Oryzias latipes: one gene and its partners. The protein of the gene in region 3 interacts with the protein of the main gene of each other region in a pairwise test. Links are inferred from orthologs where the notes say so. Each region holds a gene or a part of one and is shown on either strand. Other genes may lie near its edges.

Region 1 (4,423 bases), on a different chromosome or scaffold from region 3:
CCACTTTAATTGTCAAATTAGACATTTCTAAATGAATTATGCTACACATTTACCAGAGAATTAAGTGACAGAATAAGCAGTGTTGAGGAAGGAAATGAAAAAGCATATTGACGGATTGCTTTTTTATTTTAATTTTGAGTCAAAAAATGCAGCTTCATTTTGAAAATGAAAAAGCATTTCGGGTTTTGACTTTGCTTTTTATTTATGCTTCAGAATCGCTCCCATAGAATGCAACCACACAGTCAAAATTGTCTGTAGGGTCAGTTTTATCTGACACACTGCTTTAATGAAAAACCGCAGCAGATATTTGGGATCTTCAGGTTTGAGTTGACACAAGAAATGAAGTTTTGCTGCTGATGTGAGGAATTGCAAACAGAGAAGAGCGCAGTGACACATTTAGTTTGGTTTTGTCTTTGTGTCATCTTTAGCAGGAATCACAGCAACCCGATCTGACCTCTGACCTTGGTCCCATGTTTAATCAAACTCTTGCACTTTGATAATGGACAAGGACAGGTTGCATGGATCGGTGCAGATCGACTGGTGTGAGTGGACTCTAAAGAAGGGTGAAAGGTGAAGGAGGGAGAGGTTGCTTTGTTGATGCAGGATGCCCCCCAAAATAGGGTGCAGTCAAAGAGAGAAACAGCAGCTGCTGCAGGACAAATGAATCATCCGTCTGCTTTTGGAATGGCCCTTTAAGGGCTCTCCGTTGGGTGGTGGTGGCATCAGAAGCGGGTGGAGCTGAGCTCTTCTGCAGAAAGGAGGTCTTCTGTGCAGTTTGATGTTTGTCCTGACATGGACCTGCTCAGAGCGGACAGATGTTTGGACAGACGTGACGGAAACCAGGCGCCTTGGCTCCAACAGTTGGTACCAATATAAATAATGCGATGCTGCGTAACTAAAGAACAGCCGGTGATCAGCATCCTGACCATGCAGGAGCAGCAGAGAAACAGATTTCAGAATAAATGACACGAGTGGGACGGAAGTTCACATCGATCCTCATTAAGGTCCTACTTTGATCTATTTTCAAAGTGTTCCCAGTGGTCTTTTAGTAATGATTATGTTGTTTTTAGCCCAAATCAAAAAACTTTTGTTTTTTTCTGGGACATAGTTTCTGCAGAGAACAGGAGTTCATTAGATCAGAATGGAGCGGAGCAGGAAGCCTGTGACCTGCTGATTGTAGTTTCTAGGTAACAACCAAGCTTTTTCAAACTGTGTTTTTTGTCTGCTCCTTATTCAGCACAATTTGAATAATGAAATACTCAGAAACACAATTTTAATCTCAACACTGATGGGATTCAAACTAAAACCATGTTTATGTTTCTCAAGCTCACCATCATTTTATTTAATTTATTGTAGGTTTAAAAAGCTCGCATCCGACTAAAACCAAACAATCCTCAGCAACACTTGAAGTGAAAATCTCTCATCATAACCAGAACAAATCAAAGAGTTGGTGCAGTGGAGCAGAACTTCACCCGTCTGCTTCAAACCAGACGTTCATTAGAGGCTTCGACTGTGAAAATCCACGACAGGAAGCAGTTTGTTTGGGTTATAACCATTGACTGGATATGCCAACTTGATCCAGTCAGTGTGACATCATCCATAGAAAATAAAAATTCAGGCTCCAACCAAATAGTCATTTCAGTCGCCATTTTTTCTCAATACGGACACCGCAATGTTGGAGCCAGACGTCAGTAAGCAGTGATTGGTTTGAGTCATTGCTTCCATGGCAACCCCTTTCACCAATCAGGAGAGAGCCTTTTGGAAGGCCACACCCCTACCACGTGAGAGCGGGCTCGGGAGAATCTGTCAAACGTTTTGAGCTTTGGACACAAGACAACCTACTTTTATTGATGAATCAGATTAGTCGGTTCAGAACTTGCATAACTTGCGCTACGAAAAAGTATAATGAAAAAAAAAAAAGGATTATCAAGAAGAAAAAAGTATCAGATCTAGAAAGGTTCTTCTGACCAGAAGAATGACTGAGTAACAGCTGTTTATTTCTCTGTAGACGTCTATGGGATTTCGGCTTCTTGGAGCCACTTCCTGTTTGGAACGCCAGGGGGAGGGGCCTCTGAGGTCAGTGGTTGTAACATGCAGAACTTCAAAGGTCAAGCGGAACACATTCAGAGATGCAGGAGGGAGCACCCATGATGCATTTCTCACACTGTTTGTCCAGAACAATCCATGCCTCAGCAGCTTTTATTGACCTTCCCTACCCGACTCCTGGACCTCAGCCTCCTGTTCCTTCAAGACCTCCTCCTCGGTGACGCCTCCTGAAGGAGCATCATGGCAGCTTTGATGGAAACCTCAAAGAACCACAGTAGAAGCTTCTTCTCAGACCTACCTGACTCCTGTATCAAAGGTTGCATTTCCTCTTCCTCCTCAGTGTACTCCTCCTCCTCCTCCTCCTGCAGCTGCTCAGTGTGAATCTCCTCTACAGGAGCAGCAGGAGGTGGGGAGGAGGAGTAGGAATTCTCATAGTGGCGGAATCGCTGCATGGACTTTCTGCTGCTTCAGAGAACCCCGGATACAACACAGCAGCTTCAGGAACAAATGAGGAGTTTTGTTTCAGAGGAGAGAATCAGGAGGAGTAACAGGAGGAGGGACGGATTGAGGACAAACAAAAACATGAAAAAGAACAAACGCCACAAAGTGAAGCCAAACACTGACCCGTATCAGTGGCAGAAAATGAGAAGAAAAGCAGAACAAAAGTATCCAGACTCCAGCAGGAGAAAGCCAGCTCCTCCCTCTTCCAAAGCCACAAAGATTGTGAGGCTCCTGAAAAGCCAGAACCTGATCCACACTATTATTAGAGCCGACAAAACCCTGTGAGGCCCTGTGAGTGGAGCGGATGCCAGAGAGGACAAACACACCAACAAGTAACCTTGACACTCGTCTTCTCACTGAACCAAGATCAAACTGGTTTTGAGGCTGCTTTATCCAGACCACGTTAGAAAAAAAACCCAAAAACAAACCATCCACCTCCTGCTACCGGAAGAACACACGCTGAGAGGAGCAGGCCCAAAAGATGACCTCCGAATGCAGGACAGGACAAGGAGGAGCTGCTGCTCTGCTGTTGGGGTTAGAAGGACAGTCTGGAGTGTATCTGAAGGTTCCACAGTGATGCTTTACCAAACCAAAGCTGTCTTAGAACCTGTTTTAGGTCTGCTGGTTTCTGTTCAAAGGTTGAAACGGAGAGAATGGAGAATGGGTGAAGCCCCAACGGGTTACTTGGTGATCTAACCTGGCATGGCTGCACACTCACGCCCATGCACGTTCACACCTACAAGCCCAATTCAGACCCACCGATTAACCTATGCAGCGTGTTTTTGGTATGTTGGAGAAACCCCACACCTGCATGAGGAGAACACGCAAACACCACACTAAGCTGGGATTCAAACCTGCACCTTTCTGTTGTGAAACCAGTGTCAAACACTACACCACAGCCTCTGCAAAAAGAAAAGCTCTAACAGGGTAAGACCTGATGAGACAACTCTCTGAACAAAGTGTCACACCTGTCAGGCCACCAGGAGGCCCCCCGCTTTACTGTGACGTCATATCAAAAATGATAACATAGCCCCGCCCCCCGATCATTAGGAAAACGCCAAACGTTTCACTTAAGGTCACTTCCAGAAAGCGTTCTGGTGAACCGGGGCTTAAACATGTATATGCAGGGAAATATCACTGAACACCGGGATGAAAACAAGCAGAAACTCTGCAAACATTTTTAAAAAGTTGAATTTCTTTTACGAGAGCAGGAGGAGGAGGAGGAGGCTAAGTTAGCTTAGCTCGGTTAAATGAAGGAGTGAAGAGGCGGGTTTAAGAGCATCTGTACTCCCACATGGGTCCGTCTGGTTCAGAATGAGGCTCTGACACATCTTCAGGCAAAATAACCCGAACAGGACCGCGTCAGACCAGTTCCAATCCGATCCGGTACGGTACCGTTCGGTTCTGGAGCACCGACGCCCCATGACCACATTTAGTCATCGCACAGAAAAGCGTCTTTCGGCCTGGACTAAACACACAGACTTCATCATTTAACCGTTATATTGGTTTGATGATGACGCAGGGACCGTGAAGGCAGCATCATCATCACCGTTGCTGGAGCTCTAAATCTGGATCAGAACCCAGACCCTGAAGGCAGCCTGTGTTCTGATCCAGATGAGCTTCAGCGTGTCTGCAAAAACAGTTCAGATGTGCAGACAAACACCAGCAGCTAAGGTTACTGACCTTTTCTGGAGTGGCTCTTTGCGTTCTTTCTCTGCGCCATTTCCTCGTAAACTTCCTGATGCGAGCTTCCCGGTCTTAGCAACTCTGACCCAAACACCGTCTCTGGTTCTGCCAGCGAACGGGAGCGACGCCACTGTGACCGGTTCCGCTTTCAAGCTAGTTCTCAAAACATTTAATCACGTCCTCATGGATA
Region 2 (4,447 bases), on a different chromosome or scaffold from region 3:
GTCAAAGATTGTTTGTTATTTAGGTCTCCCCGCTGACATCTCCTGAGTTAACAGATTCAATTCTGCACAGATTAAAGGGGGTTATCTTTGTGAGCAGTAGACATTTGCAGCTCTTTTGGGGGATCAAAGATCTTACCAGCAAGATACTTGTAGACATTATGGGCTCCTGTTCCAACTACAGCGATTTTGCTGAACAGCGGGAAGGAGACTCCATAGACTCTGCGCACAAAGCTGTCGATTTCCTTGTCGCTGCCCGGCTCCTGCTGCCCGAACTGGTTGCAGGGGAAACCCAGAACATTGAAGTGACTTGAGCCAAAGTCCCGCTGGAGCTGCTGCAGGTCTTTGTAATGTTCTTCGGTGAAGCCACATTCACTGGCTACGTTCACCACCAGCGACACCTGAAGAAACACAAATACAGTGACAACAAGCCGGCAAAAAACATTTCCCCAAATTTGCTTTCATAGATTCACTCTGATGAAGTATGTTTTTGGTGTTGTGGCATTTTCTGAGGATGGAGGACAAAAATTCTGCTCAAAACTACATTTCTAAGTACTTCAACATTCTGAACCAGGAGCAGACAAAAACATGCTGTTGAAAAAAAAGATCGTATTTGTTTTGAGCTCCGTGCTCCGCTCCATTCTGATGCATCCACTTGGAGACAAATAGATCCAAGAACATCTTCATTTTCCTCGTCTGAGCAGGCGTCTTGCTCAAAACCATACAACTGGATAGCTCTAATATTGCTCGCCATTTTTGTTGCACCGCTAATTTTAGGTTGGGGGAGTGAGAGAGAGTAAGCAAATGTTTATATGTTTTTATTTTGGCTAAAAACAGCATAATCATAATTAAAAGACCACTGGAAACACTTTTATAAGAGATCAAAAGATGATCGGAGTGGGTCTTTATATTAATTTTAGAAAGATATGTGTATTATTTTCTTTTTATTTCAATGTTTATTTTAAATGATTGGGTTATACTATAAAGAATAACTTTTATAGTATGAAAAAGGTTCAATAAGTTTTTAGCAATTATGTCCCCCCCCATGAGAGGTCGATGAATTTACCAATTTTCTTGGTTCTGAATAAAAACAATAAATAGAAATGAAAGAATAAATTATCTTCTCTCGTTCAGTCAAATCGGGCGACAGTGGCTGAGGTGGTTGAGCGGGTCGTCCAATGATCGAAGGGTTGGCGGTTCGATCCCCGCTCCCACCAGCCAAAATGCCGTTGTGTGCTTGGGCAAGACACTTCACCCTCCTTGCCTCCAGTGTGGCTCCACTGGTGTGTGAATGCGCATGAATGATCCCGGTGATGGTCAGAGGGGCCGTAGGCGCGAACTGGCAGCCACGCCTCCGTCAGTCTGCCCCAGGCCAGCTGTGGCTACAACAGTAGCTTACCATCACCAAGTATGAATGAGGAGTGAATGAATAATGGACACACTAGCGCTTTGGGTGTCTTGAAAAGCGCAGATAAATCCAATCCATTATTATTATATTATAAATCAAAGTCTATATGATCTTTGATCTACTGCACGCTTTCTTCTGATAGCAGTTTAAAACTAAACGGGAAACATTTAATAATAAAGGCAAAAAAAAATCTTTTCTCTCTCCTTTATTACATCACGTGATACATCACGTGAAACTGTTAGTCATAATGCAAAAGGAATCAATAAAATCTATAGGCTGCAGGTCCCAAACACAAGTGTTAGTGCAGATCAGCACATGCAAGAGCTTCATTCATGCTTTAAAGGGTGCAGTGTGTTCCTCTCGTTTATTTAAACATAAACAAATCATAATGTTTAAAATAAAAATCTATAGTCCTCCCAAAATAAACAAAACAAAGCATCAGATACGATGCTTTCATTGAAACCAAAGTACAAACTGTTGAGCTCTTGTTGTGACTTGAATAACTTAATATTTTGTGTAACTTTCTGCTTTGACTTTTAATCTTCTCATTCTAATTCATTTTGGTTTCGCCCGCCTGTGATGTCATCACTTTTGAGGACGTTCATCCAAAAATGCAGATAGAAAGAATTGCGAAAACAATATTGTAATAATAGGGCTTTAATTTTTCGTGTGCATTTTAATGCATCAGTGAAATGTTGCGTTTGTGGACAGCTTGGATCGTGGTACCTTCACTAGTAGTTCATGGGAGCTGCAGAGCTCCTACAGCTGCAGGCCTCCTGCCACGTAGACTACCGAGAGGAGCCCGAGCGCCCCACAGCATTCAGACAAGTGTTAGTCCCATCTGCAGACAGAAAGTTAAAGCACTCTCTTAAAAGATGCGCTCATGCCGGCATGCAAAAGGAGCGGAAAGGTCCCGCAAAATATATTCCATCCAGGTTCGGCGCAGGAAGAGGTTCTGTTAGTTTTGTTTATTTCATTTGGACTCACCGAACCCCGGTATTTTTCTAGAGACACGAGCTTCCCTCTGCTGTTCACAACTTTGAAGGTGTAAAAGTCCTTTTGTTTGCTTTCAGAGAGACTGAATAGTGTTACAAAAACGGCGAGCGCTGAGCGGAGCATCTTTTCTGCCGAACTGCCAGCTCAGCTGCAAACTTCTGTCACTGTCAAGGTAAAAGTTGTGGCACGTGACTTCCGGAGGAAGGTTGGAAAAATAAAATGAATGCAATTCGTAAACATCCCAATGACTACGTTTCCTTTAAAAAATAGTAGTATCAACAATTTTAAAAAAGAAAAAAGAATATTAAACAAAAAAATTATTCCTTATTACTTACTTTAAAACTGCCAGGTCTGTGGAAAACTTCTGTCACCATCAAGCTACACGCTGTGGCACGTGACTTCCGGGAAAAGGTTGTAAAAATAAAACTATTGCAGTTCCTAAACACTCCAATGACTGCGTTTCCTTCCAATGAATAATAATAATAATAATAATAATAATAATAATAATAATAATAATAATAATAATAATAATAATAATAATAATAATAATAATAATAAAACAAAGAAATAGAGATAAATAAAAATATATGTATTCTTTGCATGACAGGTTGAAAAATGGAAAAATTCAAACCAATACCATTCGTGGACATTTAGAAAAACTTGAATTTTCCCTTTAAAAGATAGGTTTAAACAAAAAAAAACAACAACAACACAGACCGTAAGTAGGCCTATATAAACTTGAATAATCTAAAATCAACCCTTTAACAGCCTGTACAACCATACAGTCCAGCAGATTAAAAAGCATTTTTGTAAAAACAAAGATTGTGTTTATTTCCCCAAAGCAATAAGCAGCAGGAAAAGTAAAACATGTTTTCAATGATTTTGTCTTAGTTGAGTAGTTAAGTAGGGTTAAATCAATGCTAACTAAGTAACAATTACCTTTAACGATTACCATGCTTTCATTTTTCTTCAGCTAGATAGCTAATGTGGATGGGTGAAAGTAAAAGAACCACCTTATATTAATGGTGGAATTTCCGTGCAGACTTGAACGCAGTACACAATACGCCCTCTTCACCATCATCACTGGCACTCCCACAATGCAGCGGGCGAAATGTATTAACATGGCGTCAGTGGTCGCTGTTTTGACCAGGGCCGTGGGATTTGAACAACATGACGCGGAGCCTCACCATGGAGAGATTTAAACCATAATCCGGAACCCACCTCACACTTCAAAGTGAGTCTGTGCTTGCTTATGAGTGGGGTAGCGTCCGACCACGTCCCTTCGTTTTTGTTTTTTTGTTTTTAATTGCCGTGCGGCAGCGATGTACCCGATCTTTGATGTGTTTTTGTAGCTAGCTCGAGCCTCATCCACCGGCTAGCTAGCTTAAAAACGAACTCTGGGACGTCAGAATCCGCCGGGAACTGAACGTTAACGATTTAAAAAATAAACACTGGCGTTCCTGGGTTTCAAATAAGGCTGTTTATTTTGTTTACATGGGTGCTGGCACTTTCTAAACTAGTCTCACAGTTAGTTAACCGCTCTGTTTTTAAAGTTTAGCTAACGACCAGGCTCGGTGTTGTGCTCCTGCCTGCACCCCAAAACCGACGTGGGACTGCTGTTGAGAATCAGGGATCGATTAACATCGTGAGAGCAGGTGAACGTGAACGCATCAGATGCTTGGGTGCATCTGATCTAGTTACGTTTCCGGAGTCCGGAAAATTAGGTTTCGTTTCACGCTCACGATGAGGGATTGCAGTGTAGTGCTTTCGTTTACTTTGTTTTATGTGTCACTCTTGAACCTTGAGATAAGATAAGAACGGTTATCTGTCATAATGTAATTTTCTCTCAATTTAGTTAGTTTTTATGTCTAGCATAACTTATTTTGAATTAAAAAAAACTTAGATGAAATACAATTTACTGGCAATAGATCTTAAGTTATGATATGAGAAACATTTGCACTGAACTGTGTTCATTGGTATGCTTTGAAATATTTGATCATCTAGATTTGACATTCATCTCGTTTAAAGATGATAAATCTTGTTGTT
Region 3 (2,751 bases):
CAGATCTGGTTTGGAGCCGCAGACCTACAGGAGGATTGATGGTGATGCTGCACCAACGGTTGTCATGGTAACCTCCTGCTTCTTTGTAGTCCAGTCTGGTCTGGTGCAGGTCTACAATCTTCTCCTTTAAATCCACTGAAAGCTCTCTAGTCTGATGGACTGATTCTGTGGACAGGTGTCTTTTCTACAGGTGATCAGTTCAAACAGGGGACAGACGGTTGATAAGGAGAGTCTAACGGGTCTGTGTGACCCAGGACTCTGAATGGTTACCAGGGGATCAAATACTTACTTCTGTCAATGAAATGCTACTGTACATTAATACTTTAAGGTAGATTATGATTGCATGGAGCTGCAACCCCCCCTCCTACCCACCGGTGGATTTCCCACTGGCTGTAACGGTTTACCTGACAACACTGGGGTGAAGTAAATGAACCCTTCAGTCCTTCCTCTGACGGCTTCAGGCAGGACGACGGCGAAGGAATCCCCTTTTCTCAGCGGGGGGTGTTGGTGCAGGTTGACGGGCTTCATGCTCCATCAGAGACAATCTGCATGCGGGTCAGTCTCCAGCCCCCCCCACCACTGGCTTAAGGAATAAACAGGAGACTGCCAGTTGAGGCAACTGCGTTTAATTCTCACTGCCAGTTTCACTTAAAGAAAACCTATAGAAAAAGATTCTCGCCGACTCAGAAGCCTTCGTTGACGAAGAGGGGAGTTTCAGAGGAGGAGTTGACCTGCGTTCTACCTGCACATTTCTGTGTTCTCAGGTGTCACGGTCCCGTGGCTGAGCACTTTGCTGAAGGACAATCAATGCAGGGATGTTGAGTGGAAACCATCCCCGTATGGGTAAGACGCCCGCCGTTTAGCTTCATTCCAAATGTCACTGGTGAGCGCCGGCTTTAACGCCACGAGCGCAGAGAGGCGGGGACACGTCTGCTGCCACGGCGGCCGGAGAGACCTGCTTTCTGATCTGCGCAGACGCGTCTGCTCAGAATATGGAGAGGTCAAAAAACAGTTTTATTTGGAAATAAAAAAACACGTTCACTGGAATCACCAACAAGTGCACAGCAGAGGGGGCGGGGCTTGTTGATCAGATGTGGAAACACACCGAGACCGATGAAGACCGGAGGACGGGATGGGCGGCGCCGTCGCAGTGCTGCGGGTGGGGTCCCCTCCCTGCGGGGGGGGGACGGAGCGGATTGCGCTGAGGCTTCGTGAGGATCTGAGGGCGGCTGGAAGGAGGCGTCAGGGTGGAGGAGGCGTCTGCGGGGAGGATCACTTGTTTGGAGGCTTGTAGGGTTCCAGAAGTTGCTTGGAGAAGGTGTTAACTTTGTCAGCTCCTCGCACTTCGTGGGGCAGAAGAGGCAACTTGACTATGTGGAAATCCTCATAAAGGTCCTCCATCTGTGAGGAAGAACACGGGGCAGAAATGAGCGCGCGGATCCCACCTCACGCCGTTTCACGGCAGACGCCGGGACGCTTCGTACCTGATCCAAGTACTTGGACTGAATTTTGTGGCGCGCTTCACACATCTTGCAGGGCTTCTCGGCGTCGGGGAACACCAGCTGGTTCACGATGATGTTGTGCGTGTCGATGCGACACTTGGCCAGCTCCTGGATGAGCCGCTCCGTCTCGTAGAGGGAGAGGAACTCGGCGATGCACACGCAGATGAAGGTGGTCTGTTCCTGAAGAGAGCAGGGAGACATTCGTCAGAACCAGACCTGGTCGTCAGAACCAAACCCCAACAACAGAACTCGACTCTGGTCACAGCCGTTATAAAATTTGGTTCTGACGACCAGGCGGTCGTCAGAACCAAACTCCAACGACGGAACACCAGAGTCGAGTTCTGTTGTTGGGGTTTGGTTCTGACGACCGCCTGGTCGTCAGAACCAAACCCCAACAACAGAACACCATGTACATTACTCTTTAAAAGAAAAAAGCTAAACAATGGGGGGACTTCATTAAAAGACTAAATAAGGGGGTGGTGACGGAGGCCCCCCACAGGGGGACTTGCTTGGAGTGAGCCCTCCGACATTTTCGGACGCTGGTCGCTTTGACCGCAAAAGCAAAACCCGACCCGGTGCGGATCCACGGAGGAGACGCCACGCCCACGGCGTTAGGCGTGCTCTGTGTTCTCCTCGCAGGATGGTTTGCCGCGCCAGAGACCTGGGATTTAACGCTGCCGAGATCTAAGCTCCGTCATACCAAAGCACAGCGATCGCTTTACGGGATGGTTGCTGTTTGTTTTTAAACTTTGAAGTTTCCGGAGTGGAAATGACTAACATTAAACTAAAATGATTGCCTTTGAACTGACCTATTCTATGTTCAGTATGTTTGGGGGGGGGGGGTTAATGTAAGGAAATGATGCACGGGTTACGTCTGCTATTGTATTCATCTGAGAATTGTTTCTCCACATTAAAGGCCCGTTCACACCGGGACGAATTTTGCCGGCGTTTTTCGCCGACGTTTAACGCCTCGTGACTAAACAAAGGGCACTAGGGTTGGGCGATGTCCCCTAATTTGGCTGTTGACGGTGTTTGCTGTCAACCATCGGGATAGACGATGACATCGTCGGGGGGGGGGGGGGGGGGGGGGGGGGGGGGGGGTGTTTACATTTTTCGTTCTTATATAACTGCTATTCGTTATTTTGCTTTTATCATTTTATTTCCCAACTAATGGTTAATCCGCGATGATCCAGTATAAACTGAGGGAAGTGACTTTAACAGAAAAAGTAACAAACAAAATAGAAAAGAA

What was found.
Region 1: the proteins of asna1 (region 3) and aspartyl/asparaginyl beta-hydroxylase interact in binary tests that used the Homo sapiens proteins (3 or more experiments, as listed by UniProt). The two-hybrid records come from large-scale screens. The link is inferred for Oryzias latipes from reciprocal best matches to the Homo sapiens genes GET3 and ASPH.
Region 2: the proteins of asna1 (region 3) and gpx7 interact in binary tests that used the Homo sapiens proteins (3 or more experiments, as listed by UniProt). The two-hybrid records come from large-scale screens. The link is inferred for Oryzias latipes from reciprocal best matches to the Homo sapiens genes GET3 and GPX7.

Annotation. Positions count from the first base shown.
Region 1 is NC_019878.2:3,471,852-3,476,274, forward strand, and holds the start of aspartyl/asparaginyl beta-hydroxylase, read right to left. Parts: upstream 2,820-4,423; 5' UTR 2,671-2,819; intron 2,542-2,670; 5' UTR 2,499-2,541; coding exon 2,345-2,498; intron 2,274-2,344; coding exon 2,208-2,273; intron 1-2,207.
Region 2 is NC_019862.2:22,280,127-22,284,573, reverse strand, and holds the start of gpx7 (glutathione peroxidase 7), read right to left. Parts: upstream 2,850-4,447; 5' UTR 2,737-2,849; intron 2,664-2,736; exon of another isoform or gene 2,566-2,663; 5' UTR 2,525-2,565; coding exon 2,393-2,524; intron 2,247-2,392; exon of another isoform or gene 2,132-2,246; intron 399-2,131; coding exon 137-398; intron 1-136. UniProt on the Homo sapiens protein: It protects esophageal epithelia from hydrogen peroxide-induced oxidative stress. It suppresses acidic bile acid-induced reactive oxygen species (ROS) and protects against oxidative DNA damage and double-strand breaks.
Region 3 is NC_019859.2:35,305,844-35,308,594, reverse strand, and holds the end of asna1 (ATPase ASNA1), read right to left. Parts: intron 1,683-2,751; coding exon 1,485-1,682; intron 1,402-1,484; coding exon 1,273-1,401; 3' UTR 611-1,272; downstream 1-610.